2 linked regions of the Lonchura striata genome follow. The protein of the gene in region 1 purifies or fractionates together with the protein of each later gene. This does not show direct contact. Links are inferred from orthologs where the notes say so. Each region holds a gene or a part of one and is shown on either strand. Other genes may lie near its edges. The genes, in order: SLBP and MIF4GD.

Region 1 (14,876 bases):
CTCAATTCCACCCAGTTGTGCTTCAGGATGGAACCATCCAAAACAGAAGAAATCCAGCTTCTTTCTGCCTGACAGCAAGACTTGGAGAGATACAGACTTCAGGCTGGAGAGGTATCAAATGCAGCTCATCAGCTGGGTTTGAGAGGCATTTTTGTATGTTATTTTAGTTGCTTAGTTGCTCTCTTGCTGTAATTCAATCTAAGGATTTGTTATAAACATTTGATTTTATTTTTTAATTAGCTGTTTTTCACTATTTATCTTAGGGATGTCTTGATCAATATTTATATGTTTATTTATATCTATATGTGTGGTAAATTCTGGCCTTATGTTTTCATGTTACAAGCTGTGTTAATATAAATGTGTGAGAACCCCAGCCTTGCTCTGGGGTCTCATATGGTGGTGAAATTCCTCCTCCAACCCGTGCTTCCAAAGAAAAACTCCACAGGCTTTAGCTGTTCGGTCTCAAGGCAGTTTATTGTTAGTTATCTAACAGATTATGTTCTTGGACTGCAGCTATTTGATCAGTGGCCTGGGTAGAGGCACACACACACTGACATCCTCTCTGTCTGCTGTCTTCTTCGTCTCTCCCCCCGCCTAGGGCTGCTGCTGTTTTTTATATGATATATTACATATTACATGTTTATAGTTTTCCCCAATACCTACTACATATATTACAAAGTGCTTTTCTACTCTAAACCAATCTGTGAGTGCTAACATCACCAAGAACATGGAGGTAAGGAAAAAGAAGGAGGAAGGACAGGATCAGCCCACTTTCCTCCATCTTAGAACTTTTGACCCCCATGTATAAGGTAAAAACCCCCCTGTACAAGTATTAAAACCCCCCTGTACAATACTAAAAAAATTTCCCCTCTACTTTGTAACTACTTTTACTATACTATCTAACCTTTTGTGATTGCTTGTTCCACCTCCAAAGTTGGCAATTCATTCTATGGCTCAAATTCAAAATCACAGCTGTTTTTCAGCTGTCTGCCAGGGTCTAAAATGCTTCTGACTAAGGCCTGGAACCTCTAAAAATGTCTGAGAGACATTTTGAGTTACCACATAAATGGATTGTTATTGTATTTAGTTATTAAAGTTACCACAATAAAGAAAATTAATCGTTGTTTTTTTGTTTCTTTATTTGTAGGCTTAAACTTTGTAGCAGTTTATCAGATGGGTATCAGTCAGAATACCCTGACAGAGGATTGGAAAGTGCAAATGCTGAAGATACAATACTGAGGAAAAAAATCTAAATCCCAAGGTGAGTTCCTGCTGACTGCTTACTTGATCTGTGCTGTTTCAGTCGCCTACCCACAGTATCATTCTACAGAATGCAACTGTTCAGGTAGATCCTTTTTTCTTTTATTTTGTTAGTGTTTTATCCCATTCTCTTGCACTTAATACAGCACCTTAATTAAAAGACATAATGCTTCCATTTGCTAAATTGAAATTGTTACCTGTCAGCCCGAAAATGTTTTTTTTTATCTCTCAAATGACAAGTGCCAATTTTTTTAAGTATTTCAATAGCACCTTTTCTGTCTCTTAATATTTCTGTGAAGAAGTAACAACTTGGCAATTGCAGCAGTAGATTTTAGTGAAAATTTTCTCTTGGACTGTAGGTTCCTGTGATGCATTAATAGGATGGGTGGTAATCTGGGTTAAACAGATTTTGTTAGAAGCTAGTCTTTGTGTAATTAGATTGTCTTTGATCTACATTTGATGCAGGCTATTAAACATGGTTATAAATGTCTATTAATCAGTGATCTTTGAAAATTTTGTCTTATAAAACTCATTAAGAACGTGGCCAAAATTAGTTTTACACTTAGATTTTGGATTATAGCAATGTGAGAAAAAGGCAGCTAGAGCTTTTAAAAAATTATGCTGATGACATTTTTCTTTTGACTTTATTGATTTTTGATTTAAATTTTTTGAGCATGAATAAGATTTAACATGCTTTCACTTTTCTAATGTGCTAATTCAATATTTGAAAATATCTAGTCTCTCTTTGTATATAGAAGTATTGAAGAAATAATTTCTCCTGTGGCAGAAAAAGACTTGAAGAATAGGATGTAGTCTGAGATCAGATCAAGTCTTGGAAAACTGCTGCTGTCATGTAGGATCTGGACTGGAAGAGAAAGAGATTTGCAGTCAGCATACGTGCAATCAATATAAGGTGAAATTATTCAGGTAAAAGAAGCCTCTCTACATCACAGTTAAGAGTCTTTCTGGTTCCCACATAGTTGATATTTATCTTTTTTTTTGCAGTGGTCTTTGTTGTAAATAAGGCTGTATTAAGGAGTGTATATAAGGAGTGGGTTTGTAATCAAATATTGTAATTGAAAAAAGGGCTCTGCTAGATGTAGAATGTATAAAGTGAATACTTTCTCTGTGGAGCAACACATTGGCTTTCTGGGATGGAAAGATCAGTATTTAGAGAAGCATTGCCTTGGCTTTTTGGCATGATGAGCTCTAACTCTCAAGTGTCAGGAACTTTATCTGTGGAAGTTTAATCTTGCTTGAAAACCAGATAGTGGTTTACATGGTAGAATTCCACACTACCTTCCCTTTTGCTAAAATAAACATTCACATTTATTCCTGTTTAAGACAGAAATTGTCTGGTTGATTTCTAAGGAAAAACCTTAGTCAATAGGATACTTAAGATGTGTCAGAAATTTGTTAATTAGAATCAAGATAAAAGCATGTTTTATGAATTAATAATGTCATTTAGATGAAAACGATGCAAGGGGTTGGGAAAAATAGGCTCAACTGCTTCCTTGTCTCTGACAAATACTTTATGAATGTAGGGTATCTAGTACTGTATTTTTTTAGTAATTTATGTTCTCAAAATGTTCATACTAGCTGTAATACTTCCTTTAGTATGGACAGTATGAGTTTCTCCTTTATACTGTGCTATAAGCTCACCATGTGCAGTGCTCTCTTCCATTTACTGCTACTGTAACACTACAGCTTAAAAGAGGAAAGGAGGGAAATATTTTGTTGCTAAGGGCTGGATATAGCACGTTTATAAAATGCTGTTACCTGCTTTTTTGTTTAGGTTTCTCCAGATCTTTATAAGGATAGATTGTTTTCTGCAAGCTGTGCCTCAAATGTAAAACTCCAGATTTCGTGAACCTGTGCTGCAATGACAATGGATGTTCCTTAAAGCTTTTGTGAGGACATTTCTGCTGTGCCTGCGTTGGCAGGTGACATGTGCATTATTTTTCAAAGGCTGCTTCAGGTGATGGATTCTGCCATTCCCTCTGGAAGTCTCATTCCTCAGGGTGTGCTGATGTTTTACCAGTGAATGGTCCAGTGTCAAGTCAGACTGAAATCCAACCCCTCCAATCAAGGAACCTCCTCTGCTCCACTGGACCAGAATTGGATATGCAGCCTGAAGAACTGCTTCAAAAGAATGTACATAATTTCAGCCTTCCTCCAGTCATTCAAGACAAGCTATTCATAATTTTTGGGTTGGGTGATCACCCATTTGGCCTATTTATTGTTCTCTGAGATGTATTAAGGTGGCATTTGCCTAAGCCAGGTGAGAGAAGAGAAAGGAAAGGTGTATGGTTTATCAAAATCAGATCCTTTTCTTGAAGGGGTTGAGTGACTGTTAGAACAGAAGCACAGCTTAAATACCTGGATTTTGTGTTTATGTGTGTTGCAGCCTGACCCAAAGAGCCAGTCTACAGTTAAAGAATAGGAGAGGATGCATTCAGTGCCTGTTGTTCCTACAACTATTGGGGATGAATAGCAGTATTTGCAGGTGTGGAGCTGCTCTTGTCCAGGGTAAGGGTTGTGATGGTGTTGGGACAGGCTCTCCTTTTTTTTTTTATTCTGTTAACACTGTGTGCAGAAGTTTGAAGTGATAGCTGTGGCTACCATGGTTTGGACTAAATTCACGTGCCAGTTACAAGAATTTTACAATCCTTGTGTAGCATGTACTGGGATACCAGTGGCTGCTAGAGCTGGGAGTTGTCTCTGCAGGAATTTGGTTTTACTTTCCCTTGCTATAGGGCTGGCAGTACCCAGGGCCAAGAGCCCATTGTGCTGCTGATTTTGAAGCCAGCTGCTTCCTCAGAAACTACTCTCCCTCCCAAAATGTTATTTCCAGGCATGCTCAGCCTAACACAAGGGTGTATCAGTCACACACCACAGAGCACGGAGCATATGTGTACGAGGGACACATCTGTACAGCACTTTTCTAAGAGGTAATATTTAGAACCTTGTTGTTCCAGTGTGCATGTTTCCTTGCGATTTATGGTGCTTGTAAATAAAGGGAATGTGTTACATTTTTGGCAATTTGCCTTTAAGCAGAAGAATTAAAGACTTGAACTTTAAAAATCCTTGTTAGTCTGTTTTTGCAGTTGTGTTGTCAGTTTGATTATAAAAGGAATATCTGGGTTCATTAGTTCTTTCTTGTTTGTTTTAGGGTGTTTGCTTGGTTTGGGTAGTGATTTTGGATTTTAGTCCTTGCTAAAAGGGGAAAAGAGGAGTCTTCAGAGATTAAAATTAGACTCTTGAAGGCGGATTGCAATTCTGGTTTTGTCCAGCCCCTCGGTGTTAATGCATTGTAACATAGTGGGAGGGAGAAGCTGAAGTCCCAGCACCCATTCTGCCATGGAAAGGGGTCCTGCTGGAGATGGAACTGCTAGGTGAGAGTAATAGGCTGTTAAGAAATACTTAAACTCATCTTAAGTATTTATTGAAGTATTTTGAGTATGAAGAGCTTTTGCCTATGATAGACAGGGCCTGCAACGGCTTTAGGTATACATCCATAGGATTTTGCAATTCAGCAGTCCTTAAAAGATCTTTGTATTTCTTGGTTGAAGGCATTAGACTAGACATAGCATAACCAATCTGCCTGTGGCAGTTGAATTTTGGGCAGATTTATTTCCTAATCCAGATTCTGTGTGCTTGAACAAGCTATGGTACCTCAAGGGAAGGAATGAAACAGCAGATGAAGTTTGAGGTCTGCTAAAGTCATAGCATGTAGTGCTGCCACTGGGTGTAAAATCATCCTGTGTTCTAATTAGTAACCTCATTAGACTAAATAGAGCAGTCAAAACTGGAATGCTGCCTGTCCATGCACTTGTTTACCTACCCAAGGCTGTCTGGCACAGTTTGCAACTGAGGTAAGCGAAGCAGAAGTCTGGCACTCCACCCCCAGTTTTTCCTTTTAATTTTACACAACTTAATTAAATCTCTGCATAAATCTGTGCTTAGTTTATAATTAAACCAAAATATACCCTGAACTTCAGCAGACAGATTTCAATTTCTTCCTAGAAATAACAAGTATCTTCTGTTGGCATGCTTCCACTGGGAGAATCTCCTTATAGATGATACATTATCTGTGCTTGTGGAAACCATCCTTCACAGCCAGTTCTGAAATGCCACGGGTTGTGTGTAGTTTATTTTGTTTCTAAAACTCCTTTGAGGTCACATCTGAGGATATCTCCTCCCCTTAAACTCCCACCATGGTGTGAAACTGCTTCTCTGAAGGACTTTTGTTGCTGACAAGGACAGAAAGATGCAGTGCAGCTGTAATCTCTGAGCTGTGTCCCAGGAGATAGTTCCACTGGATAAACTGAATTCAATTTGTAGCTAGTGTGGTGCTAAAAGCACAGTGTGGCTTCCAGGCTGTAACTGTCCTGTTTGCCTTGCTTGGGTGTGTTCAGGTAAACATGCTGGTCTAGCTGGTCAGAGCCAGGCTGAAGGGAGGGGAGTTTGTGCATGTTTTGAACCTCTGCTGTATTTCAAGCACGACCTTGGTTCAAGAACACAGTTCTCTTTTTCATAGCAGTGTGTGGGAAAGGAGAGGTGCCAGCAGAGCAGACTTTCCTGCAGGAATGTGGATGTTCATGCAGATGCCACACAGAAGATCTGCGAGTTTGTACAAAATATAACACAGTAAGGCTAGGCAACAGGAATGGAATTTTCAAAATAAATCCCTTAATGCATAGCAAGGCTGGAGTGTATCTTTATTTTAAAAAATCAAAACCAAACACCACCTGTTACTGTGTGCTCTGAAAGTTTCTCCAAAACCATTGCTGCACTTAGATAGTTGCTTTAGTGTTTTAAGCTGATCAAAGAAACCCACCAAGCAAGTTTTTGTTTGCTGCTTCTGCCATCTGTTTTACCAGATGTTGTACCTGGTGACATGGTTTAGCAATGGACTTAGCAGTGCCTCGTTAATCATGGACAACCATGATTAACTTGATCTTGGAGGACTCTTCCAGCCTTAATGAGCTTGTTTTTGTAAGGCTTTTTCAACCTTTGTAATCCTGTGATTGTAAGGCCAGAAGAAAACCATCTCTCTGGAGTGTCCCACCAGTCTTCAGGCTGCAAATGTATTATTGTTAAAAGCTGTTTGTGTTCTGCTGGAGTTCTTCAGGTTGTTTCTAAATTACTGTTCTAAAATGTGAGCGTATTCCCAATAGCAGGACCAGTGGGATCTCACTGGGCATGCATGCGCAAGTAAAAACCCCAGAAAGGTCCACGAACCAAGGCACAACCGCCTCGTGTCGTTACCCAGCCTTCTTCACTATTGATGCAGAATTTAAAGCCACGTCACTCTGAAATTTATGTGGTAACTGTCTGGTGTAGGGTTTGAACTGGCCCTTCAACTACCCTGTGCGCTTCATCGACTGTACAGCCTTGCCGGGGACCGTCATCCTTCATACGTAAATCGCGGGAATTTGTATTTTTCTTTTTGTTTGGGCTGGATTTTCCCCCCGTTGTTTCACGCGAGTCCCGCCGCCGCCGCGCGCCAAAACCGCGCGCCGCCGCGCTCGATTCTCCCGCCAACACGCCCCGGGGGCGGGGCCGGGCGGAGCGGGCTGAGCCATTACCCTGCCGGGGGGGTGGGGACGTGCGTGAGCGTGTACGGGCGCGGGGCGGCCGCGGCGCTTTCCCGCTCGCCCCCCCCCCTGCTCCCGTCCCCGTGGAGGCGCCCCGCGGGGAGGCGGAGCGGGCGCGTCGCGCAGCGCCGGCGGGAGATGCGAAGGGGCCGAGCGGGAAGGCGGCAGCGCTCCCTGGGCTCTGCCTCACCGCCCGCCTCAGCCGCCCTCGCCTGCCAGCCCCTCGCCGCCCGGCCCTCCTTCACCGCCCGCCTCAGCCGCCCCTCGCCTGCCAGCCCCTCGCCGCCCGGCCCTCCTTCACCGCCTCAGCTCTGCCGCAGCGCTGCGCGCCGAGGATCCCCGCGCCATGTCCTTCCGCCAGAGGAGCCCTCACGGCAGCACGAGGAGCAGGTAGGGCCGCCGGGCTGCGCCGGGCCTCGCTCCCCCCACGCTGCCCGGGCTCGCTGCGGGTGGGCGGCCGGAGCCCCTCGGGCCCGGCGCGCTGAGGGAGCGCAGGGGTGAGCGGGCGCGGTCTCCGGAGGCGGACGGAGCCCTCGAGCCCGGCCGGGTCCCTGTTTGTCCGCAGCCCGCAGCACCCCCCGCGCTGGGCCCAGGCCAGGAAACGCGGCGCCGATGGGAGGCGGCGGAGGCAGAACGAGCCCGAATCCTCCGCCTGTGAGGAAAACAAGCCCGGGCCCGAGGACAGCCGGCTGGACAGGTGAGCAGTGCCGACCGTGGCAGCGGCTTCCTGCGCTTTGTTCGCCAGGAGCTGCTGTACTGACCCTTCTGCCAAGCCCTGCCTGGTTATCATCGCTCATCGGCCATAAATAGCTGGTCTTAAAGGAGGGAAAAGGATCGAGCGCAGTGCTCTTATCTCCGAGTCAGTTCTTAGGAGTCAGCATTTTTCATTCTTACCTCTTGAAATATGTCCTTGATAATTTATGTCCTATTTTGTGCTGGTTTACTGTCATTTATCGAGGACTAATATTGTACAGGCCCATTACGTTTCTAAATACAGGCTGTACAAACAGTTGTGGTAAAACTGAAGTAAATTACAAAAATTCGATTCTTAAAAATAATATATTTTCTGTTTCTGAAGGGAGTACAAAGAAGTTGTGTTATATGTCAGCACATTTGTGGAGGGATCCTGTTTTGAGGTCACCCCATAACGCTGCCTTCTGTGTTTGCTAGCACAGCTGGATTTAAGTATCTTATTTTATATCACATTGACAATCTGAGCTGTTCGTGCCGTGGTCTCTTTATCTCTTCGATCTGCGATGGGAGTTGTTCCCACACCCCAGTTGATTGACTCAAGGCTTCTTGAAAACAGGGTGGGTTGTGCCCACCCACTTTCCTTTGCTGACAAATAGCAGGGAACACCTTGGTCAGTGGCTCAAGTTACACTATCCAGAGTAGCTTAAACTAATGCCAGAAAGCCTGGTTGAACAGCAGCACGAGGATGAAACTTTACTGATAGTTTCAACATAAATAAGCAATACTTCTGCGTATCTCCCAGTATTGAATTGTGCAGACACACTTCCTGGTTTCAGTTTGGATTGAGCTCTGACTGAAATTGCTCTCTTCCTCTGACAAAACTACTTTTTGTTTATGCCAATCCAACCATGCCAAATTAAAATTCTCAAAAGTAAAGAGGACCAGGATGGAGGCTGGGTCATCTGGATAATCACAGCACAGGTACAGAATCAAACAAGAGTTGAGGAAAAAGCTCAGGAGCTGAGACCAACTGGGATTCTGCTGTTTGTTTTCTACCACAGGAGAGCAATAATTGAACATGGCCTGCATTCTCTGCAAATCTAGAAATTGGTATAAGCAGAAGTTAAAAAACCTTGGAGCTTGAACAGATTTTTGCAGATGGACCTGTACTGTTTGATAGGGATTTTTAATTTTGTCAAGTTGGTAACTGGGTTTCATCTAAAAATAAATTTAAGTTTGAATTTAACAAAACGTTCAAAGTTGTGCAAACCAGTTTGGGAGCAGGGGGGAATTGAAGCTGTTTTGGTGCAGATGGATCTAATCCCCTGTCTCCAAGGGACATGTTTACACAGAATCCTGGAAAGTCTCCAGAGTATTTCCAGATCTGCTCTCTAGGATACAGTTTTGAGTTTTACTTAGGGAAAATTGGGGAAAACACTGAATAATCTGAATTCAGGCAGCAGTAGGTGGTTGGGAGGGGATATGAGTTTGTTCCCCTGCAAGAGTTTGAACCTGCTTGTGATGCTAAGGGGCTGCAGCAAAGTTGTTAAACCAGTTTGCAAAGGCACTGTAATTCTCAGTTTCCTAGCTAAAATAGGATGGTTTTGTGCCTTTGCCTTCTCTACTAGGCATATATTTACATGGAGCAACTCCTGGTGCTATCGTGTAATTTTAATTAATTAGCTTTGCAACTTAATTCTGTGCCTCAACTTTTATCTCTTATATAGCTAATGAGTCTGCAGTCATCAAATAAATAATTGCTAAGCCATTTAGTGGAGTGAAAACAAGTGAGTAAATGGATAAAGTTGGTATTTCATGTACCATTTTCTGAAGAATATGAGCTGGAAGTTACTGAAAGCATGGGCTGGGTTCTCAAGCTACAGTGGTAGGTTTCTATAGATACCTACATCAATTTTAAGAAAACCCAACACAAACCACACAACCTCAAGGTGGAAGTCGCAATTGATGCTTAATTTTACAGTGATAAAATTTTAATAAAACACAAGGTAGTCACAGCCATTTTGAGTACTGTAAATGATTATATTTAAGGTATCAAGCTGTAAGTAGGGGAGGTAAATACAATAACCGAAGCTTTTAACACAGAGCCTTAATTTTTTTTTTTTCCTTTCTAGTTTTACAACACCAGAAGGTCCTGGACCCCTTTCCAGGTGTTTAGACTGGGGAACTGCAGTGGAAGAAGATGAAATGAGGACAAATGTTCACAAAGAAATCGCTAGGTAACCCCTGGGTGTTTAAGAGGAAGTGGTGAAAAGAAGAGAAATTGAAGTTGTCTTGTAGAACCTGTTTCAAGTTATATTTTTTAACTTCACCACTGTAGTAAAATCAGGTCAACCTTAGCCTCTTGTCTGCTGCTTTTAGATTAGCTTTGGGTTGAGTCCTGCAGGAATGTCATGGGATACTGTATCTCTGGAGATTGAATATGTATCCCTAAATATCTTCCTTTTGGACTAAGCTTTTCCTGAATCTCTTAGATTAAAATAATTAAAATTACTCTCCACTAATGACTGTTTTTTCCTATCATTACTATAAGAAGTTGCTTTAGGGAAAATAGGAAAATAAAGTCCTTGTATTTTTATTGTTTGTAAGGGAAAACTGAAACATCCATTTCGTAGGAAAAGGTCTTTGCAATGTCTGGGGTGCTGCTGCTTTTCTGAAAAGTTAATTTAACAGTGAGCTGTGACAGCGCAGCCCTCATGTTCCTCTTTGTGTATATAATTTCTTAAAACTGATTTTAATTCTTACAGACACAGAAGAAAACTCCTGATAAATGAATTTTCAAGAGAAAGGAAGTCCTCCTCAGGAAGGTAGGTTAAATTTCTACCTTAGCTGAGGAAAATCTTGAAAACAATTTTTATTGCACAGTGTTGTTTCTTAAAACACACAGTTTAAAATAGTTCATCTCAAGTCTGTTCCAACACCATGGTTTAGTAACACCCCAAGCATTTGTTTGAAAAGTTTCAGCATGTTTATTTATAGCCTTTTACAAGTGGGTTTGTTTGAGTGTCAGTGGTTTTCTAGTAGTCCCAAACCTGCAATGTTTTTTTTCTTCAGTTCCGATTCAAAGGAGTCCACGGTGACAGTAGAGCTTGAGACAGATGAGGTGGTTTTGATGAGAAGACAAAAACAGATAAACTATGGCAAAAACACGATTGCATATGATAGATACATTAAAGAAGTTCCTAGGTAAGCTGCTTTTTTCTAGAAAACTAAATATCCACCTGCAAGTCATACTTGTTCTTTATAAGGACATTAATGTATTAAACTTGGTATCCAATACACTTTCAAATAGAAGGCATCTACAAATTAAACTTTTAAGACATTTTTGAGCTGCTAGATCACACTAACAGTCAACTGAGGTGTGGCTTAAAGTTTTATTTTAATGAGTCATTATATAAGAAATACCTCATGCTGCTGAAATGGAAATGAAAGTTCTTTTGGATGTGCTTGTCAGTGAGAGGAAATGAAACTGCTTTTTGCAGTCAGTTTTCTCATGAGTTAACTACAAGACAAAATAGGCTGCAGTTGCTATGGAGTTTGGAATTAAGTTTTCAGATCTATGAATGATAATTCTTTTTTACTATTGTTATTTCGTTTGGCTTGGAATAAGAAAAACTAAGAAGTTTGTATGGAGCTGGCAAGCCTTTGCTTGAGTGCAGGAATTACATGTTGGTCTTCCTCATAAGTCATACAATCAGTTAATATTTAAAGCTATGTTATGTATGTGTGAATAAAACTCTGATAGATTTTTCATCTCTGTCTGAACAGATGCCATCGTATACCAGGAGTTCATCCCAGAACTCCAAACAAATTTAAGAAGTACAGCCGTAGGTCATGGGACCAGCAAATCAAACTGTGGAAAGTTGCACTGCATTCCTGGGATCCTCCAACTGAAGGAGGATGTGATCTGCAGGAAATGTATGTACTGAGTATGCAAGATGCTGTTATAGAAATTATGATGTGAAGTCTCATGTTTAAGAAATAAATACCACCTCAGCATAGTTCTTTTTGAGGCAAGTCAGTGAGTGCTGAATGTTTCCCCTAATTATTTATCTACACTTAGTGCTGTTCAGTTTCGTCTCAGTCAAAATATCCAGTAGCTTCCTTTTCTTTGCCCAGTATCCTTGGAAGGGCATACATACATATCCCTCACTTTTTTAATGGTGAAAGCAGAGCCAGTTCTGCACTGCTCTGTAAAATAATCACCACATCATTGATATGAACCAATTCTTTCTGAGCAGTCTTCAAATTATCTGGTAGGAACAGGGCTGGAGAGTTCTCACTAATGGCAGGTCTCCTGAATATTGAGCTTGGACCAATCCATTGTACAGGAAACTTTCTCACTTGCTAGTCAAGAACAGTGGTATAAAATGTTTCTTCTCCAGAGAGGGAGAATTGTGAACTCATCCCAAGCTCAAAGCACGGCCACAAGTGTTCACAGCCCAAGCTCTAGAAGATGTAGAGTGATGCCCCAGTTATTTCCTCTGTAGAAAGCAATACAGCTGATCAGCAACATGTGACATAAAACTGACAGTAGAGAATGAAGGGGACAAAGAGGGAACTTAATTTCTTAGCAGGCAGTTTTGAGTTAATAAAGTAGTGTTTTTTGTTAATGGAATGCTGATTTTTAAAGCTACTGCAGAGCAATAGGATCTAAAATAAAAGCTTCCTTTTAGATTCCCTTTACTTGCTCAGTGTGAGGGGAGTTGGTCCTTCAGCCAGAACCCTGCTGTGTGCATTGGTGTCCAAATGCTACTTTCAGATGCTGGGGTCTAGTCTGTGTATAATGGATATTAAATCTCTCCAAAACAGATGGATGAAAACCTCATCTGGGGGGGAAGAAAAAAAATCCTCTCCTGTAACATTTGCATTAAGGCATTGCTTGAGCACTGGGTTTTTGTCTTTGACAAGTTGCAGTATTCAGTCTCAAGACTTAATTCAGTCCTTGGCCATTTTGGCAGTACTGAGCTGTACTGCAGTTCTGTTTGCTTTCCCCAGTTTGCCACCACTGTCCCTGTAATCTTTGTAAGTCTCTTTGCTCTCCTCTGGCCATTTTTTTTATAACTGCACAACAAAGTGCATCTTAACACCAAAAAAATCAATTTATTTTATGCTATATTCTTCTAAATGATTTTACAGTTGTCCTGTTGACCTTGGTGAGATGGAGACAGAATCTGTTGGAAGCAATTCTACTGAATCTCAAACAAGCTGTCAAGATAATGATGTAAGCATATCTGTCATTTGCATAACTATTTGTTAATAATCAGTTCATTGCTTAGAATTATATCTAGAGCAGCCTGAATACCTCACAGTTCCTATAATCTACTTTGCTTAGGGACTGTTGATAAAGCTGAGCAATCCTGAAATTCGTGTATTTTTCAATTCTAGCCATTATCTGTCTGTAGTCTTGAATTCAGAGAATTAGAACTTAAATGGTCTTCTCACATTAAAAATATCCCATTTTTTCAATGTTTTCATGTTTGCATATATAGGTCTTTGGAACACTTGCAAGGTATTTTCAAATGGGATGGATGGGCAGAAGCCTACATCTCTTTAATATTAAGACTAGGCTTGAGTTTTTACGGCCTTTAAAGCATTTGTTATTATTATTATAGGGTGGTCTAAATTAATTACAGAAGTTAATTAAATTACCTGTACTAATAACCTCTACTTAACTAGTAATTAATTGTCTTTCCTTTCCAGGATACCTGTTCTGGCACTCCCACCAAAGTTAGACATGTTGACTATCAAGCAGAAGGAGAATTTGACCTGGAAGTGTGTTTAAGTGAGCCATTGAAAGAATTTGATACTGTGAGTTAAATAGTCTTGTGCAACCTGTTTTAGAGAAAGTTTCTTTTAAATTTAAAAGGTTAGCTTGATCCATAACCTGTTAATAATTAGAAAGCTTAAGCAAAGTTGAAGACTGTTCTCAAAGCTGTGATTGGTCTAGATATTCTCCAGACCAGACTCTACGTAAAATTGCATTTAAGTTGTGTGACTTCTTGTTAACTTTTAATTTATGTATATCAGATTTTTTTTATAAAAGTTTTCAGTAGTAAAACTAGCCAATGGCAGTGCTATCCTCTAGTAATAAGAAATAGCACAAGATCTTACCAATTTTCCCCACTGTGAACATTATTTCAGTTGTTCCCCTACAGCTCAAGAGCCAAGTAGGGGGATATTTTTTTAATGTTACCTTGCTTTTACACATGGCTCTTGTAACAGACCTGACCTGAAGTAATGCACATGGTACAGAACCATGTGGCTGATTGGCACTAGTAAGCCCATCTACTGCAGTTACTGCAAGTTTAACTACCTTACCTTAAAAAAACCCACTTTTTTTGCAAAAATGTTTCAGAAACAATTGGAAGTTTAATACCCTCAAGAAATTGGAGGTCAACATAGTAAAGTCTATGCAATAATGTTGGGGTTTTTTAAGAAGTAGCAGCCTTAATTTGAAATTTGTAAATAGTCGTCAGTCACTTATTAATGCAGTCAAGAAAACTATGTCTAGGGAAAGTGCTTGATTCTTTCAGTTTTCTGGTTTTAAATGTAAAACTGTTGTAAATGTTACCAACTGTACAGATTTTCTGCTGAGAGCAGTTCGTGTTTCTGTTGCTTTTGCGTGGGATGTTGCTGGAAAATAAACAGAACTGCCTTTACTTTTACATGTGACTCTTCATTTCCTGCTAGCAGTGCTCTGTGGATAATGAAATACAGGGAAATGCTGAAAGCCAGGTGTCTGGTATTGGTACTAAGCCAGGATAGATCTGTGTTAGCACCATCCTCTGACTTACAGGAGACCTTAAAATCTATTTACATGGCAACCAGAGTGAATTTGAGACAATTTTGTGTAGTAGATGTCCATTAGCTGGTTGCCAAGTTCTGTTTTGTAGGAAAACTGCTAGGAGAACTGGATGAACACTTCAGTCTTCTTTACTAACAGGTTTTATCTCTTTAAATGGAATTTCTGGGTATTGATGTTACACCCCTTAAACTCATCAACTCAAGGGAGCATCTCAGCTAGTAATATTGCTTACAGCTGATTTGTTAGGCACTTTTGAAATCAGGTCACTTGATCTGATGGGGAAGCTTCCAAGACGAAACTGTGGCATTGGGATAAGGTTGATGCTAAGCTCTGATGTTAATGAGACAGCCTTCCTAACACATTTTTTCCAAAGAAGGCAACAAAATGGTATTTCTGGACTACCTTCTACCTGGACTCTGCACTCTCTGTCCTTCCCAGATTGCTTTTCTCGTGTCACATTTTCTGGCCATGCTGTTCCTGGTTGTTCTTAAGTATTT
Region 2 (14,931 bases), on another chromosome or scaffold:
TGGTCTCCAGTTCTTCTTCTACAACATCCTGCAGCAGTTTTCCAAATGGGCGATTCCAGCTGAAGCAAAGAATAGAGGTAGGAACTTGGGACAGTGATGGTTGCAGTCCAGAGAGAATGAAATGAGTGCTAGTTTGGGTGACTGATGTAAGCTCTGTTAGTCCTTTCACATTTTTTGATGCAACATCTGAAAAGCGTCTCAATTTCCCACCTCTCATTTTTACCCCTGCAGGGAAATGCCAAATTAAGTACAGCAGAGGTTACAAACAGCTCCCATTGTACAATAACCATGATGAAAGTGGGTGGATGGGAAAGTGAAGTGTCACAGGCCAGGGTGCTCTTCCTTTAACAGTGTCACGTTACTGATACTGTGGGAAGACAGTCCTGCCATAATCTTGCTGTTTCATTAGTGCTGTGGGGACTGGACTCTTGGATTTCTGTAGTTAATCTGCCTGCAGATTACAGCACAGCTCTCAGGGACGAGGATTCGTTTACTCTAATTTAAAGCTGCCAGGCTCTTGATTTGATATTTTTGTGTTAATTTCTAGCTCCATTGTAAGAGAACCTCATCCTGATGCAACCTGCCACATTGGCAGTTCTAGATACCTGTGCCTTCTTGAGCAAGAGGAATGCAACAAGCAGCATGACTTTGTTCCTCAATGGAATTTCTTCACCAGATGAACAGACTTTGCACTATAAGTCTGTATATTTAATTTTAGGTGGCAGAGGCTGATGGTGGTTTTGTGCTGGGACGTCATGATTGTCAGGAAAAAGTCTAATACAGAACTCATTTCCCACAAACCTCTGAAATCATCAGGCAGTGTCAGCTTGAGATATTCCAGTCCAGAATACATCAGCCTGAGCAGTCAGGGGTGCAAGATTTCCACTGACCAGGCTTTTACTGGGGGAGGCCATGAAAACTCATCCACTGGCAGCAAGTTGTCTGGTGGCTGGGGATTGTGGTTTCTTGAGCAGAGCAAAACCATAAGTCAGTGTAACGGACCAAGAGGAGCGAGTCCTCTGATTCCAACAGGCATTGCAAGCCTGAAAAAATACAGCGTGAGATTCTTTGGCTGAAACTACTGCAGAAGAGTTGATGTAATTTCAAAGGACTTTTTTAACCTTACTTCTTGTGAAAAGTGATTTTTAACTTACCTCTTATGATCTTTAATCAGAATTCCCTGATAATCCTCTTTTTTTCCTCCTTGTTATCCTTTTCCCTTTCTGCTTCTCAGCCAACATTAAAAACCTTGTCTGTGGCAGCTGTGCTGGAGTTGTCAGCAAAAGCCTCACGTACCCTTTGGATGTGGTCAAAAAGCGACTGCAAGTGGGTGGCTTTGAGCACGCTCGGGCAGCCTTTGGGCAGGTGAGAAATGCTGGAAGTCGTGGATTTTCCTGATTATGGGCTAGTCCAGTGCACTGGAATGCAGCAACAATCCACCAGTGGTACCTGTTGAGTTCATGTTTAGGTTGGGAGCTCCCAACGAGCACTGGTCTCATTTAATAATGTGAATTTATACATTAACGTACTGGGTTTATTTTATGATGGGTCCCAGGAGGGACCTGTCCAGTATACCTTTGCTCTGGCTTGTCATCCCTCTCCAATCTGGGGATGAGTCAGGCAGGCAAAGGGCTTTTGATTTACTTTACTTTTCTAGTTACAGCTTGGTTTTTCTGACTCAGAACCAAATTACTAGCAGAGGATGACACTGGGGTCATCTGTGCTGGGTCACCTGGCTGTCAGGTTCCTCTTCTGCAATTAATATTTTGACACAAGAAATAAGCACCAAGTGTTCAACATGTGTTTTATATATGAGAATAGCCTGAAATTCAAAGCAAATTAAATACTCTGGTGTTCTTCAGCACCACTGTTACCACCTTGAAATACATTTGAAGACAGATATAGATCTTTCAAGGAACTTTCTCTTTTTTTTCCCTAAAATGTGGAAATTTTCTATTTTCCTTAAAATTCCTTGCATCTGAGAAGGAAATCAGTCTGTACCCTAAGAAACTCTGGAATAGCATTTTGATGTATCAGCCCATTGCATTGGATGCTTTTCCTCTTGCAGTAAGATGCAGAATTTGCTCTTAGCATTGATGTGTCACAAGATGTTAAAACTGCACAGTGTAATGTGACAACATGCGGACAGCTAATTGGGAAACTCCTACGTGCTGTAGCTGTGCTTTCTGTCAGAAAACTCAACATTTTTTCCTTCTTAGACAGTGAAGGGAATAGAAAACAGCAGCTGCACAATCTGAAATAATGACTTCACAAACCTGTGCCATAAATTTAAAAATCATGCTGTTGTTGCATGCAGAGGTTTTACAACCATTCAGTGAATGATGTGGATAAGCCATTGCTGATGCTGTATGTCCACATTTCCTCTATCCTGCTCTCTCTAAATTGTCTCTGAAACTTTCAGTTAGTTATTATATTATCCAGAAAGGCATCTCCAGGCTGCATGTCAAGATAATGTTTCTGTGATATAGTTTGGAGATCTTTCTGGTTTTTTCCAGTTGTCTTGAAGTTTTCTTCTTTAACCTTGTTGTCATTCCTCTCTCAGGTACGGACTTATGGGGGTTTCCTGGACTGCATGAGGCAGATCATGCGAGAGGAGGGCCCAGGTGGGTTTTTCAAAGGCCTCTCTCCCAGTTTGCTGAAGGCTGCCTGCTCCTCTGGCCTCATCTTCTTTTGGTACGAGCTGTTCTGCGGCCTCCTGTGTGCCCTGAAGAGCCCTGACAGCATGAAGAGGAAGGAAGGCTGAAAGGGATGTGTGTGGCTGCCTGCTGTTCTCCTCAGGAGGGGAGACTGATAGCCTTGCTCTGTCACGAGCATGTTGGAAATGTCAGAGCTCCCAGAGCTCCCCCAGCCTGTGGGGAATCACCTCCTGGGACCAAACAGAAGGAGAAGGCCACTGCAGTTCTGCTGGAGACACTGAACTGCTTGGCTGGGAGCCATTCAACAGAGCACTTTCCTTCTGTCTCCTATCAGTGCACATTTAGTGGGGAGAGGGGGAACCAACAGACCATTCCCTAGCAATGCCTGTGCTCTGGAAAAGCACCCAATAAAGTGGGTGCGTCCCGGAGCTCACCCTGGATCCCAGAGAGGGGATTCTGGCCCAGCCTAGTGCTGCTTAACCAAGCAAACATCACTTCCTAGCACTGCATCTGCACAGCTTTATTCCTTTGCTCTGTGCCTGCTGTTTGCTCCAGATTCTTGTCTCGGTGTTGCACAGGTCTCTCTGTCCTGTTGGTGTGAAATCAGGTAAAGCCACATTAGTGCACAGACCCTCAGTTTTCCTTTCCGTCGCTGCTTCTTGGTCACCACTTGCTGGCTGAGCATTCTCTGTCATCTTAAACACAGCATTGTCTCTGATCATGCTGGATCAGACTTGTTTTTCCTTTAACTCCAGTGAACTTGATTGTATGCTGAATTCCCTTTTCTCTCCCTGAGTGTCTGGCCATACATCTTTTAGGGATTTGCAGTGCCTCACTTACACTTTTTACAAGCAAACCTGCATATCGAGAGCCCCACTCTGAGGGGATTCAACGCACAAACTATATTTTTACTTCAGGGTTCTTTGCTTTAAAGCAGTGAGTAAACAAATGCTGTATAGAGTTAAGAAATATTTATTCTAAGCTGGAATAATGAAAGGAAAGTCCTGTGGAAACTATTAATTTTAAAAAATCATTATTTATTTAATATCACCTCTGAATGTGTATAACAAGTATTTCTGTAGTGGCCTCAAAATACTTCAGAACCTGAGTCCTGCACTGGTGCTAGCAGATGAAAATGTTTTGACAAGATTTGCTGAAGTGAAAGGAATGAACATCAAATGGGAATTGGCTGGCTGAGTTGCTGTTTCACATGGATGATTGAATTAGAGATGGAAAACTGTTTTTCTGGAGTTTCAAAGGTTTTGCAAGTGGGTAAAAAAACCAATAAAACAACCTACCAACAACTCTTGATTTACGTAAGAGTAGAAAAGAGGAAAATTACTTTCTTCCTCCTCTTTTATGCCGTGTTTTTTTAAGCCTAGCGGGGTGTGGCTGGACTGGTGTGGAAGGCAGAGTTCCCAGCCCTGCCATACAAAAGCATGTTAGTCATCTGCAAGGGGTGGATAAGGCAGAGCACTGCAGTTATTTGGAGGGTGGTTTGATGGTTTTTAAACACAGAGCTTTCCCCAGCTCTTTTGCAGTATTCAGGGTGTTAATCCCAAATGGTCTGGCCAGATTCCAGCGTGACCAATTCCATTCCATTGACGCAACTTCTCCTGGCAATTTTGAGCATATCAGCATTGCTCACTTACCCTGAGCTATTGTGAGAGGCTGTTTTTAACAAACAGCTGCTTCTCTGGTGGCTGAAGTATCTGGAGAAATTCCTTGCAAGCCCAGGCTAAATAACTTTATGTCTGCTATGAGTTTGAGACCTTGGAGTACAAAGTGGCCTGCAGGTGACTGAGCTGTGTAAAATAAAGTTCATTGAGCAGTGTCAGTGTCAGGCAGGAGGTCAATATGTGAGTTTTTTAAAGAGGAAGAGAGAGCTGCGTATAGTCTAAGAATGGCCATTTTGTTTAGAGCAGAAAATGCAGGAAATATGGAGTTTCTCCTAGTGCCTCAATCCTATTGTCATTTTCCTGTGTTATTTAGGTTCTTCTGAGATTCCTCAATCTTCTTAACAATGTTTAGCCTTTGTTTATTGTTCACTTGTTGTTCTTGGAAAGACATCATAAGGAGTAATGAACTCAGCCTCATGACATCCTTCTGAGGGAGAGAAGTGTCTCTTTTCAAAACAGACATAAATAGGTTGGCTTTGTTACTGTCTTTTGTTGCTGGTGAGAGGAATGCCGTCATGGTTAGCAGGGGCAGGCCAGAGCAGAAAATATTCGGTGCTGACCTAGGCTTCCTTAGGAAATGGGGACTCATCCATCCTGTCTAAACATTGCAGGAATTGTTTTCCATTTTTTGTCAAAGAGCTGCTGTTAAACCACACAAAAGAAGGCAAAACTGGCTGGGAACTCAGCAGCAGGAAAGAACAGGAAAACCTGTGCTCTGTTAAGATGTCATTCCTCAAGGGTGCTGTGGAGTTTAGGGTGATGCTGGTGTGGGCAGCATTGGAGCATATGGAGCAGGTTTTCCTCTCTGGGGTTGTTTTTTCCTTCACTCTGCATTAACTGAGCTTGCCTCCACCCAACAGATGGCAAAGCCAGAGTTTAAGTTGTGCCTGTCTGGCCCAGGCTGTGGAAGAGACACTTGTCGCTGTTGAGGCAGGGATGGGAATAATGAGACTCCATTTTCAGAATGGAAGAGAATGAGCTTTATTAACAAGTAGTGTTCCTCTTGTATAACCAGGATCGCTAAGGTGAAACATGGTCGATCTCAAAGTGAAAACAGCACACGGTGGTAGAACATATCCAGAAACAACATGAACAGAAAGAGAGATAATAATTGTTTACATTCCTCCCAGACTTTTTCCCAGGCTTAGCCTGGCAGAAATCTTTCTCTTTTTCTCTCTGACTGAACTGAGAATATCCATAGACACTCCCTGGTCAGAGGCTTTAGGCTGTGAGTCACAAATGTTATAGGCCCATAAAGGCATCTGGGCTTCCAGTGAGAAGGAGAAAGATGTGACAACCTCAACAATATTAGGAGCTGCATCCAACAATCACTTCTTCATCTCTGATCGGCAGCACCTGTCCCTCATAGATTTCTCATGTGCACTGCTGGGGAAAGCACTGTAAGAGGAGTGTTGATTTCTCTGGGGGATTGAAGCTGAATGAAGCATCAGGAGGAAAGGTCTTATTTCTCAAGTTGCTCTGGTAAAACACATGCTGTTAGGACCTAAATCTCTTAGAATTAGAGGAGCAGGGAATGGAAGAGATGTGTGGACACCTTGTTCTCCCAGGTGCTGGGACAGATATACTCTTGGAAGCTGTGCACTCCCGTTCAGTGTGAAGTGACTCAACATGGCAAATGCCTCCCTGTGAGACTTGGCTGATTTGGCCATTGGGATTTCTTTCCAAGCTAATCCTATCATCGGGGATTTGCCTGCAGTTCACCTCACAAGCTGCTCAGCAGTTTGTTTTCTGCTAGTGCCTTTTACCATGAGAACGTCCAAAAGCTCCTTAGCGGGCAGAGGGTTGGTGAGGAGTTGTGCCCCAGTTGTTTACAGCTCCACCATGGCACTGAGCCAGCCTCAGATGCAAAAAATCTGCAAGGAACATGCTGATTCCTGCAATGCTGGCTGGCTCACCAAGTTCCTAGGACAGTCCCACTCTCAGGATACTCATCCAGAGCTGCATGGCATCCTTTCTGACAATAAATGAATGCTTATTCATTTATTATGTTCCAGTTGGGACTGGAATAGATAGTATTTAATTCGGATTTAAGTTTCTCTTGTGATGTAGAAACTGTAACTGTGGCACTTCGCTGTGTTGCCTGAGTGGACAAGGTACATTAAATATTTTAATTTAATTTAAATATTTTCTTATACAGTGGCTCGCTGCAGTTGATTTATTCCTTTCCTCTTCATGCCTGTGCTGGACCCCGCAGGAACATCGTGGCCCTCCTGCTGCCTGAAAAGAAGGATAATCAGGGCCCAGAGCATAGGGCAACAGGAGCTATTTGGACTTTCCATCAATGGCTTGTGGGTGCCCCTCAGCCGTAGGCAGAACTGTACCGTCTCTGTTGGGTGTTGCTGTTGAGAACTGCACCAAAAGGGATCAGCCAAGAGGGATGTTTGCAGCCCAGTCCTACTGCTGTGTCCTAGAGGGGCTTTTGGAGCTGTCATAGTCAGTCCTGAGCCTCACACCCCCGGTGGTTGAGTTCAGGTTTTCTTTGTATCCAGCCAGGCCATGTAGTGCTACAGAAAATATTCCCAAACTGTTCGTTCTGTGCTCCCTCAGCCAGTCCCTGGTTTCAGCAGCCTGCCTGCTCTGCGGTGAAGGCTTCACCCCCTGCGGGGTCTTCCCTTATGAAATGGCTGAGATTTGAGAGAAAAAACGTGAAATGTGTTATATACCATACTCAGCTGTTGTTGCAGTGCGTTGGTTTAGTGCCTCTCCTCTTTCCTGACCTTTTTTCTACTCATTTTTTATACCATTCGGCTGCAGTATGCCCTGACTCGGAGGGAAGGGCGGAATTCACGCCGTTGTCACCCGTAGAGCGCCGGGACAGCCCCGCGGGGAACCGGGGCAGAGGGGTGAGTGCTGCCCGCGATCCCCTGGTGGGGGAGAGTCGGAGAAGCAGCGGCCGTGCCCGGGAGGGTGCCGGGGGGCAGCCGGCCGTGCTCGGGAAGCGCTGGAGTTTCCCGAGGAGCAGCCGGCCGTGCCCGGGAAGCGCTGGAGTTTCCCGAGGAGCAGCCGGCCGTGCTCGGGAAGCGCAGCAGTTTCCCGAGGAGCAGCCGGCCGTGCCCGGGAAGCGCAGCAGTTTCCCGAGGAGCAGCCGGCCGTGCCCGGGAAGCGCAGCAGTTTCCCGAGGAGCAGCCGGCCGTGCCCGGCGCTCGCAGGCGGTGGCGCTGCCGCAGCTGCCGCCGCTCTCCCGCCCGGCCCGGCCCGGCCCTCCCCCGGCTCGGCCGAGGAAATGACCTAAGAGGAAACCTGGGCCGTGCCGGGAGGGCGCGGGGCTCGGGAGGTGCCGGCGATGTCCCGGCGGCCGGAGGACACAGCGGGGGCGGCCGGCAGGTCGGTGGGGCGGCGCCCGGCTCCCCCTGCCCTGTCCGGGGCAGCGCGGGTGTTGCTTTCCCCGGGATCCGCCTCTTCCTCCGTCCGGTGCCCCTTGGGCTTGTGCCAACCGCGGGGTTGGAGCGACGGGAGGCGGGTCCGGTGGTCCAGCTGCCCCGGGCAAGAGGCGTCTCGATGCTGGGGGTTCCACTTGAGGCTTGGCGGGGATGCGCTGGGGGTTCCGGGGACTGGTAGAGCCCCTGCTGCAGACACTATGGGGTGGCAGAGGAGACTCTGCTCTTCTCCCTCTCCTTGCAGTGGCCAGGACTTGTCCAGCCCATGCTGCCAGGTGTGACCCTGCAGGTCACAGGTGCCCTGGCACCTGAGCTGGTGGATCACCGGCAGATTGAGGGTGCTGACCCCAGCCGTGTCAGCCCCCGGGACCGCTCGTCTAGCAGGGGCCAGCGGCAGAGGAGCAGTCGGTACTCACAGCTGCCCCATGTCACCCACTGCCACCAGCCCTTCCGATAAGGTGGTGCTGACAGGAGGGTCTCTACTGCCGGCGAGACCTGGCTGGCTCAGTGTTCACACGCCGTGGTTTGCTGTGGCAGGGTTATTGGCACAGCAGTTCAAAGCAGCCGTGGCCATCCCAGGAACGGAAGCCCCGGGACGGGCCGGGCGGCGGCACAGACGCTGCCGGACGGGCTCGGCCGCTTCCCGCTGCGCTGCTTCAGGCGCTGCGCTCTCGCCGGGGTCCTGCTGCGTGGAGATGCTGCTGGTGGGACACGGGGCTGCTGCTGATCTCGGGCTGCTCCACTGGCAGTGCAGCATGGCATGAGTGCAGATGCACAGAGAGGAGAGGTCGGCTAGGAAGGTGTTTGCCAACTAGTCATGGCACGGAGGGCACCCAACTGCTTGTGAATCCCTCTGGGAAAGAAACCTCTGTCCCAGTGACAGGGTAGGTGAGAGCTTTGGCTGTGAGAGCAGCGTCGGCAGGTGGGGTTGCTCTCTCCTCTGAGTTACTGTTATGCTCTACGTGAGGGGACTGCCCACGGTACTTGTCCCATGCCCCTAAAGGCTCTTGGGCTTTGATCTGGGTAGGGACGTGTTTGCAGAGAGGGGTGAGTAATAGCCGAGGAATTTCGACGAGTTGGCAAAACTCATTTGGACGATTGCCTTCTCCTGTTTGTACTGCCGGTCTGGCCAGCCCTGCATTTCCATCCATCAGATCCTGTGTGAATCAAAGCAAGTCCTTCCTCTCTGTGCCGTGCGTACCCTCTTGCTGTCTTCAACATATCATGAAGCAGAAGAAAATCAATCTAGATACTCATTAGGAGCACGTTAGTGCTGCAGAGGGATGAGAGAGATGGGAGCTATTGCTCTTGGGGATTTGGCTGCTGAGTTTGCTGTGTCGTGCTAGGAGCTGAGGAAGCCTGGCTGTGGTGCAGCAGAGGTGCTCTGGTGAGTGTGAGTTCGATGCTTTTGTACTGACTTTGATTCTTCCCAGATTTTTATATGAAAGGCCCAAGGGAGCAGCGTGTGCATTCCTGTGATACAGCCACATATATTTTGAGTCTGCTTTGCCTGTAACATGTTTTTTATATCAGAAAAATATAAAGCCTCTGAAGTTCTGTCATCAGCTGGTAGGAGACAAGGCTTTGAAAGCTGTGAGAATGAAGATTTGCATAGATCTAGAGTTGGTGCCCTAATAAAAGAGGAATTTCCTTGTCAGGAAACAGCCTGTGCTTCAACTACCTGGGATGTGCCGGATGGGAAATGGGTGAAAGCTTGCCTCTGTCCAGCTAAGCTCTGTGTGTTCCTTCCCCAGGAACTGTGACTAGATCATCCATTGCCCTGACTCTTGCCCTTGGAAAAACCAGTCATGGGGGAAACAGGCAAAGAAGAGTACAAAATACAGTCCTTCGACTCCGAGACCCAGAAGCTGCTGAAAACAGCCCTCAAAGGTCAGCAGGTTTTTATGAGCTCCTCTGCCATGCACGGCTTCTGCACCATTTAATGTGACTGTACTGGCCCCTGCACAGACCTTGGTTGCTTTCCAGGTGCCTCAAAGCAATCAGGGTCCAAAGAGGGCTAGGTCCTAACAGTATTCCTCTTCTCTGCAGACCCCAGTAATGTGGACCTGGAGAAAGTGGCCAATATTATAGTGGACCAGTCTCTCAAAGACTCTGTGTTCAGCAAGGAGGCTGGGCGCATCTGCTACACCATCATCCAGGTGAGAGCTCATGTCAGGACAGTGAAACACCTGGGCTGTTGTGTGGCTTGTCCCTGGGCTGGCCAGGAAGGGCTTTGCCCCAGTCACATGCCCATCTCTCTTGTCCTGCCACTTGCTTCATGCAGTGGCAGCATCCAGAAGAGCAATGGGCTAGCACAGGCAGCAAGTTGCAGCTTTTCTGCCTCTTTGAGAATCACAGAAGGGTATCTGTGTGATACTGCATCCCCCTGCCCCTCTGGCACCCCTGTTTCATCCATCCATCCTGTTTTTGTGGGCTTATAGGCAGAGAGCAAACAAGTTGGCCAGAGCATCTTCCGGAGGAGCCTGCTGAACCGGCTGCAGCAAGAGTACAAGGACAGGGAGGAGCTGCGCACGCGCTCACTGCAGGCCTGGATCTGCTACGTCACCTTCATCTGCAACATCTTCGACTACCTGAGGGTAAGGAGCTGGAGCAGCCAGCTGCTGCTGCCTGGAGTGCCAGGAGGGCCTGGGCATTCCAGGATACCAGAGCAGGAGTGTTGGGTGGGTGTTGTAGAGCCCCAGGATCATGGGGGCCAGAGCAGGTTCTTAGCACAAGGATGCTGACAGAGCTGGTGCTATCTACAGGCTTGGAGAGGCAGAGGAAGTTTTCAGGAACAGTCACAGTTTCAGCTTCCTAATTTTGTACGTTCAGTTGCTGTGGGGTTTGCTGATGGAGTTTGGCTTCAGGCCTTTGTGCAGTATGTGAACTTTGAATTTCTGCTTGGAGTAGATGTAAAAACGATGCAAGTAGAGCTGCAGGCAGGAAAAATACTGTTGGAACAAGTGTATTTCCCATGACTACCTGCTTACATTTAAAAATAGATGTCTTTTACATCATTTGTTCAGCTGCTCTGGTTCCTGGAGACTCAAATGTCTGATCTCTGACGTAAATCCCACTAATACAGCACAATCCTGCTTCCTTCTCCTTCGGAGAGGAGCAAGGGAATAACTATTTAAAATAGCTGCAGAGGCTCTTCTGGCCCCAGGCTGACAACGCTCCACTCTCCTTGCAGGTGAACAACATGCCCATGATGGCTCTGGTGAACCCCGTGTACGACTGCCTGTTCCGGCTGGCACAGCCCGACAGCCTGCAGAAGGAGGAGGAGGTGAGTGCAGGGAGAGCTGCTGATGTGCCTGCTGTCCTGCCAAGGACCTGTAAAAAGCACAGCCCGGGGGGTGCACAGGAGCCTCCACTGCTTTGTGCTCAGCATCTGCTCTTCCTTCTGAAGGTGGACTGCTTGGTCCTGCAGCTCCACCGCATCGGTGAGCAGCTGGAGAAGATGAATTCCCAGCGGATGGACGAGCTCTTCTCCCTGCTCCGAGATGGCTTCCTTCTGCAGGAGGGGCTCAGCTCCCTGTCCCAGCTCCTGCTGCTGGAGATCATCGAGTTCCGGGCTGCTGACTGGAAGATGACGGACGCTGCCCAGAAATATTATTACAGTGAAGTGACGGATTAACCTCCCAAGACAGAGGAATCCCCAGCACCTCCACCAGCAAGCTTCATACCAATTTGGAATTTTTCACATTAATTTTCTAGCACTCCCTGTAAATAGGATTTATACTAGCTAGAGCCTCTCTGCACTTACTGTCAGATGCAGCTGGTGCTGGTCTGACTTCAGAGGTTCAGAGCAGTGGGAAGAGCACACTTCACCCAGCAAGTTCTCCCACTGATTTTGTCTTAATATTGGGCTGCTGTCAGCAAAGGGCTTGGGAGGCTTCTAGCTCACACCAGCATTTTCTATGAGTGTTAAGGAAAGCACAGTTTAGGCTGAGAACATTTTGCTTTTCCCCAAAGCCAGCAGAGCTGTGGGAGGCAGCAGGGAAATATCCCAGCTCAGGCTGTACCTGGTTCTCTGGGATGGGTCACAGAACACACCATGGCCTCACAAACAGCACAACCAGGTGCTTTTATTCCCACACTCCTTCCAACAGGCTGGCTACACCTGTATGCACACAGCCTCTTCCACAGCCAGGAATACCTGCCACAGGGCATCCTGCGACAGAAGAGGTCCTTGAGCACATGTAGGAATGGGTTTTATAGATTTTATATAATAACTGTCACTTTTTTCAGAATTTTGCAAGTTTCAGCTATGTTATATTTCTTATAAGAATGGGAGAGGAAGAAATGAAACAAAATAGTCTATTGAAGGATTTTTTTCTAATAAAAGTTTTCCACTAACATATGCCCTGCTTTCTCCCTGCACAGCTGCTGAGCTCTGAGCAATACTGAAGGGTTGCTCTTGACTGAAGCCCTAAGGCTGAGATAAGTCGGTGTCTGCTCCAGTCTAGGGCCTCAGGGTTTTACACAACCAGGGTACCTGGAGCAAAAGAGACAAAGGTCTGGAATTGGGAAACACTTCCCATAAAACCAGTTTTATTTTGTCAACATTCCCACCAAATCTGTGCAGACCATGTTGCTGATGGGCAAAACTAAAAATCAAAACGAGCCTTTTATTGCCTGTTGTATCCATCCCTGTGGAAGAGGATCCAGCTCTGCAGCCAAAAACGTTGCTGATTTGAGGAACAGAAAGACTTTCAGATCCTCATGAGACAGGTAAGTGAAAGATGGTTTTGTTTAGCGCTGTTGTAAGAAAAACACGTAAGGCTTGTCTTCACAGGGAAGTGATTATGAACTAAGTGGAGCAGCCCCGCTGAGGCTGGTAACTCTGATTCCCCCTTCCCCCATCTAAACAAGCACAAAGAAGTGAACCTCATGGGGATCGTGTGAGCTCTCCCTGGGTTAGAACAGAAGCTGTCTGCAAGGGATATTCCAGATTTCCCTGTCCCAGGCTGGCAGCCCTGGGGCTCTGCTCTCCAGGCCGTGGCAGCGTGTCCCAGGCAGGGTCCCTACCACCAGCGGAAGTGGGCGTACGCCCGGTTGGCCTCTGCCATCTTGTGCAGGACATGTTTCTTCTTGATGACGGGCCCCTCATTGTTGAAAGCCAAGAGCAGCTCCTGGGAGAGCTTGTCTGGCATCAGTGTCCGGCGGTGTTTGTTCTCCCTGCACTCGGTGATCAACCACTTCATGGCCAGGAAGCGCTTCCGATTGTCCGTCAGCGGGACGGGCACCTGGGAAAGGGATAAACCACGGCTGTTATCATCAACCTGCTCCTCCCCAGAGCCACACAGCACCAGCTGCACCTGCAGGTGTTCACTGTGCTGCTCTCTGCAGCCAGAGCTGCTCCCAACAGCTGAGCCCTGCCAGTTCTCCTGCTCTCTCCCATAGGAACTGGCCACTGCTACCAAAATGGAAAATCTGGCCTGTTTTGGAGCTGGGTCCAGACTGGTTTGAGTTAGCAGAGATGGGAGATGGTCACCCCATCTCTGCACCGAATAGAGAGAAGTCACAGAATCACAGCATGGCTTGGGTTGGAAGGGACCTTAAAGATCATCTCATTCCAAATGCCTCCACATCTCACCTCTCCTTTAGGCCCCAAGGGCTGCAGAGCCTGTACTCAGAGACAGATTCTGCTCGTGTTTTAAATACCCCACTGGATCCAGGTGACCCATTTTGCCACGCTGACCTGCCCCAGGGCTTTGGGACCTCTCCCCAAGCAACATGGTGCAGTGGAAAGATGGGACTGGTAATCCAGACAACCAATTACTTTGCTGCTAGTCTCTGTCTCTTTGGAAAATACTTGCTGTGTATTTCTCCTCACATCTAGTCAGAGAACCAGAGACTGCTGCTGATTAATGGTTGCACTTGATTGATCCTAGAAGTCTTTTCCAACCTTAGTGATTCTGTGTGATTCCCCTTAGTGATTAGGGGAAACACAATACTCAGAGGTGGGGATCCTGATTTTGGACAGTTTCTAGGTGCTGTTTTATTCCAGACTGCAAAGTGGTTCTTTGCAAGGAGAGATATTTTTGAGCTGATGGGGTGGAAACCAGTTCATTTGCCTCCCTAGCTAATTGTCTCTGAACCAGATGTGCTCCTAGCCCCCCTTTCATCACCTGGTAGGTTTTGCCTCCTTTGGTGATGTTGCTGAGCCCAATGATGGGCTGACAGTTCTTGAGAGCCTGATGGAAAATGACGTAGGGGTTGCATTCAATTGTTTCCTTCTCATTTTCTGGAGCTTTGTGGTATTTCTCCAGCTGCTTCCTTTTAATGGCCTCCAGAGTCTTGGAAGAAAGGCAAGAAAGAAGACATACAGGGCAGATGGATTCTCTCACTCTATGAGGTTACATCACTTTTACCCCATTTTCACCCGAGCAGCTGGTCCACCAGCCCCAGAGGCAAAAGACCAATTGGGAATTCTTTAACCCAAGTTTTACTTCACCATCTTCCAGTTCTTCTGTCTCTTTTATCAGTCATTGCATTTTGGGTGAGGGGGATGAGCAGCACAAACCTGGGCCAGAAGCCAGGCAAAGGCAGGGACAAAGTGGAGCCAGGAATAGGGGGCTGTGCACTGAGCATCCTCCCCTGCAAAGCCTGGACTCCAGAGCCTCTGTGCTTTTCTGTTAATTTGGAATATTTGGGCAAAATGTGTTTCCATTTCAAGGAAGTTCAAGGGTGGAAGAGACCAGGTGGCAACACCAGTTAATACCAGTTGCTGTGGGTCAGAGCAGGCTCAAAGCTGTGTCATGTAGGTGACACATCTGTGGGACAAGTTGTACAGAGGGTAAGGCACGACAGAGCTGCAAAGATCTTTAGAGAAAATCATGCTTTTTAAGGGTATTGTCTGTGTTTATGTGGTACAAAAGAACACAGGCATTAATGAAGGATGGAAAGAGAAAGTTCTCCACGAAGCTGTCACCTGCTGGTCTGTGAGCTACCGAGGCTGGGGCAATGTACATTTTATCAGACAAATCAGGATTTATCAGAGGAATCATGCTGCAATGGCAGAATGAAACACATCAGGACTACAGAGATGGACCACCTGAGTTCTGGTATTCCCCATTTCAGTGGGTTTGACGTCCCAGCCTTCCATTTTGTCCAGTTTTAACCCAATAGTGAGAAGAAACCTGAGTTCTTACCTGAGACATGAGGCTTCTGGCCAGCACTTTATTTCCACTC

What was found.
Region 2: the proteins of SLBP (region 1) and MIF4GD purify together in Homo sapiens (affinity purification with western blotting; 3 studies listed by BioGRID and IntAct, with this or other methods). This does not show direct contact. The link is inferred for Lonchura striata from reciprocal best matches to the Homo sapiens genes SLBP and MIF4GD.

What each region holds. Positions count from the first base shown.
Region 1 is NC_134606.1:7,667,544-7,682,419, reverse strand, and holds SLBP (histone RNA hairpin-binding protein), read left to right. Parts: upstream 1-6,999; 5' UTR 7,000-7,206; coding exon 7,207-7,250; intron 7,251-7,425; coding exon 7,426-7,557; intron 7,558-9,685; coding exon 9,686-9,790; intron 9,791-10,318; coding exon 10,319-10,378; intron 10,379-10,625; coding exon 10,626-10,757; intron 10,758-11,339; coding exon 11,340-11,489; intron 11,490-12,710; coding exon 12,711-12,795; intron 12,796-13,274; coding exon 13,275-13,391; 3' UTR 13,392-14,239; downstream 14,240-14,876. Other genes in the region: uncharacterized protein LOC110473273, read left to right, coding at 1-111, 1,148-1,253. UniProt on the Homo sapiens protein: RNA-binding protein involved in the histone pre-mRNA processing.
Region 2 is NC_134621.1:5,310,539-5,325,469, forward strand, and holds MIF4GD (MIF4G domain-containing protein), read left to right. Parts: upstream 1-7,561; 5' UTR 7,562-7,681; intron 7,682-9,488; 5' UTR 9,489-9,542; coding exon 9,543-9,624; intron 9,625-9,783; coding exon 9,784-9,893; intron 9,894-10,175; coding exon 10,176-10,331; intron 10,332-10,927; coding exon 10,928-11,371; 3' UTR 11,372-12,097; downstream 12,098-14,931. Other genes in the region: SLC25A19 (mitochondrial thiamine pyrophosphate carrier), read left to right, coding at 1-77, 1,235-1,365, 2,564-2,764; MRPS7 (small ribosomal subunit protein uS7m), read right to left, coding at 12,762-12,983, 13,869-14,036, 14,892-14,931. UniProt on the Homo sapiens protein: Functions in replication-dependent translation of histone mRNAs which differ from other eukaryotic mRNAs in that they do not end with a poly-A tail but a stem-loop. May participate in circularizing those mRNAs specifically enhancing their translation.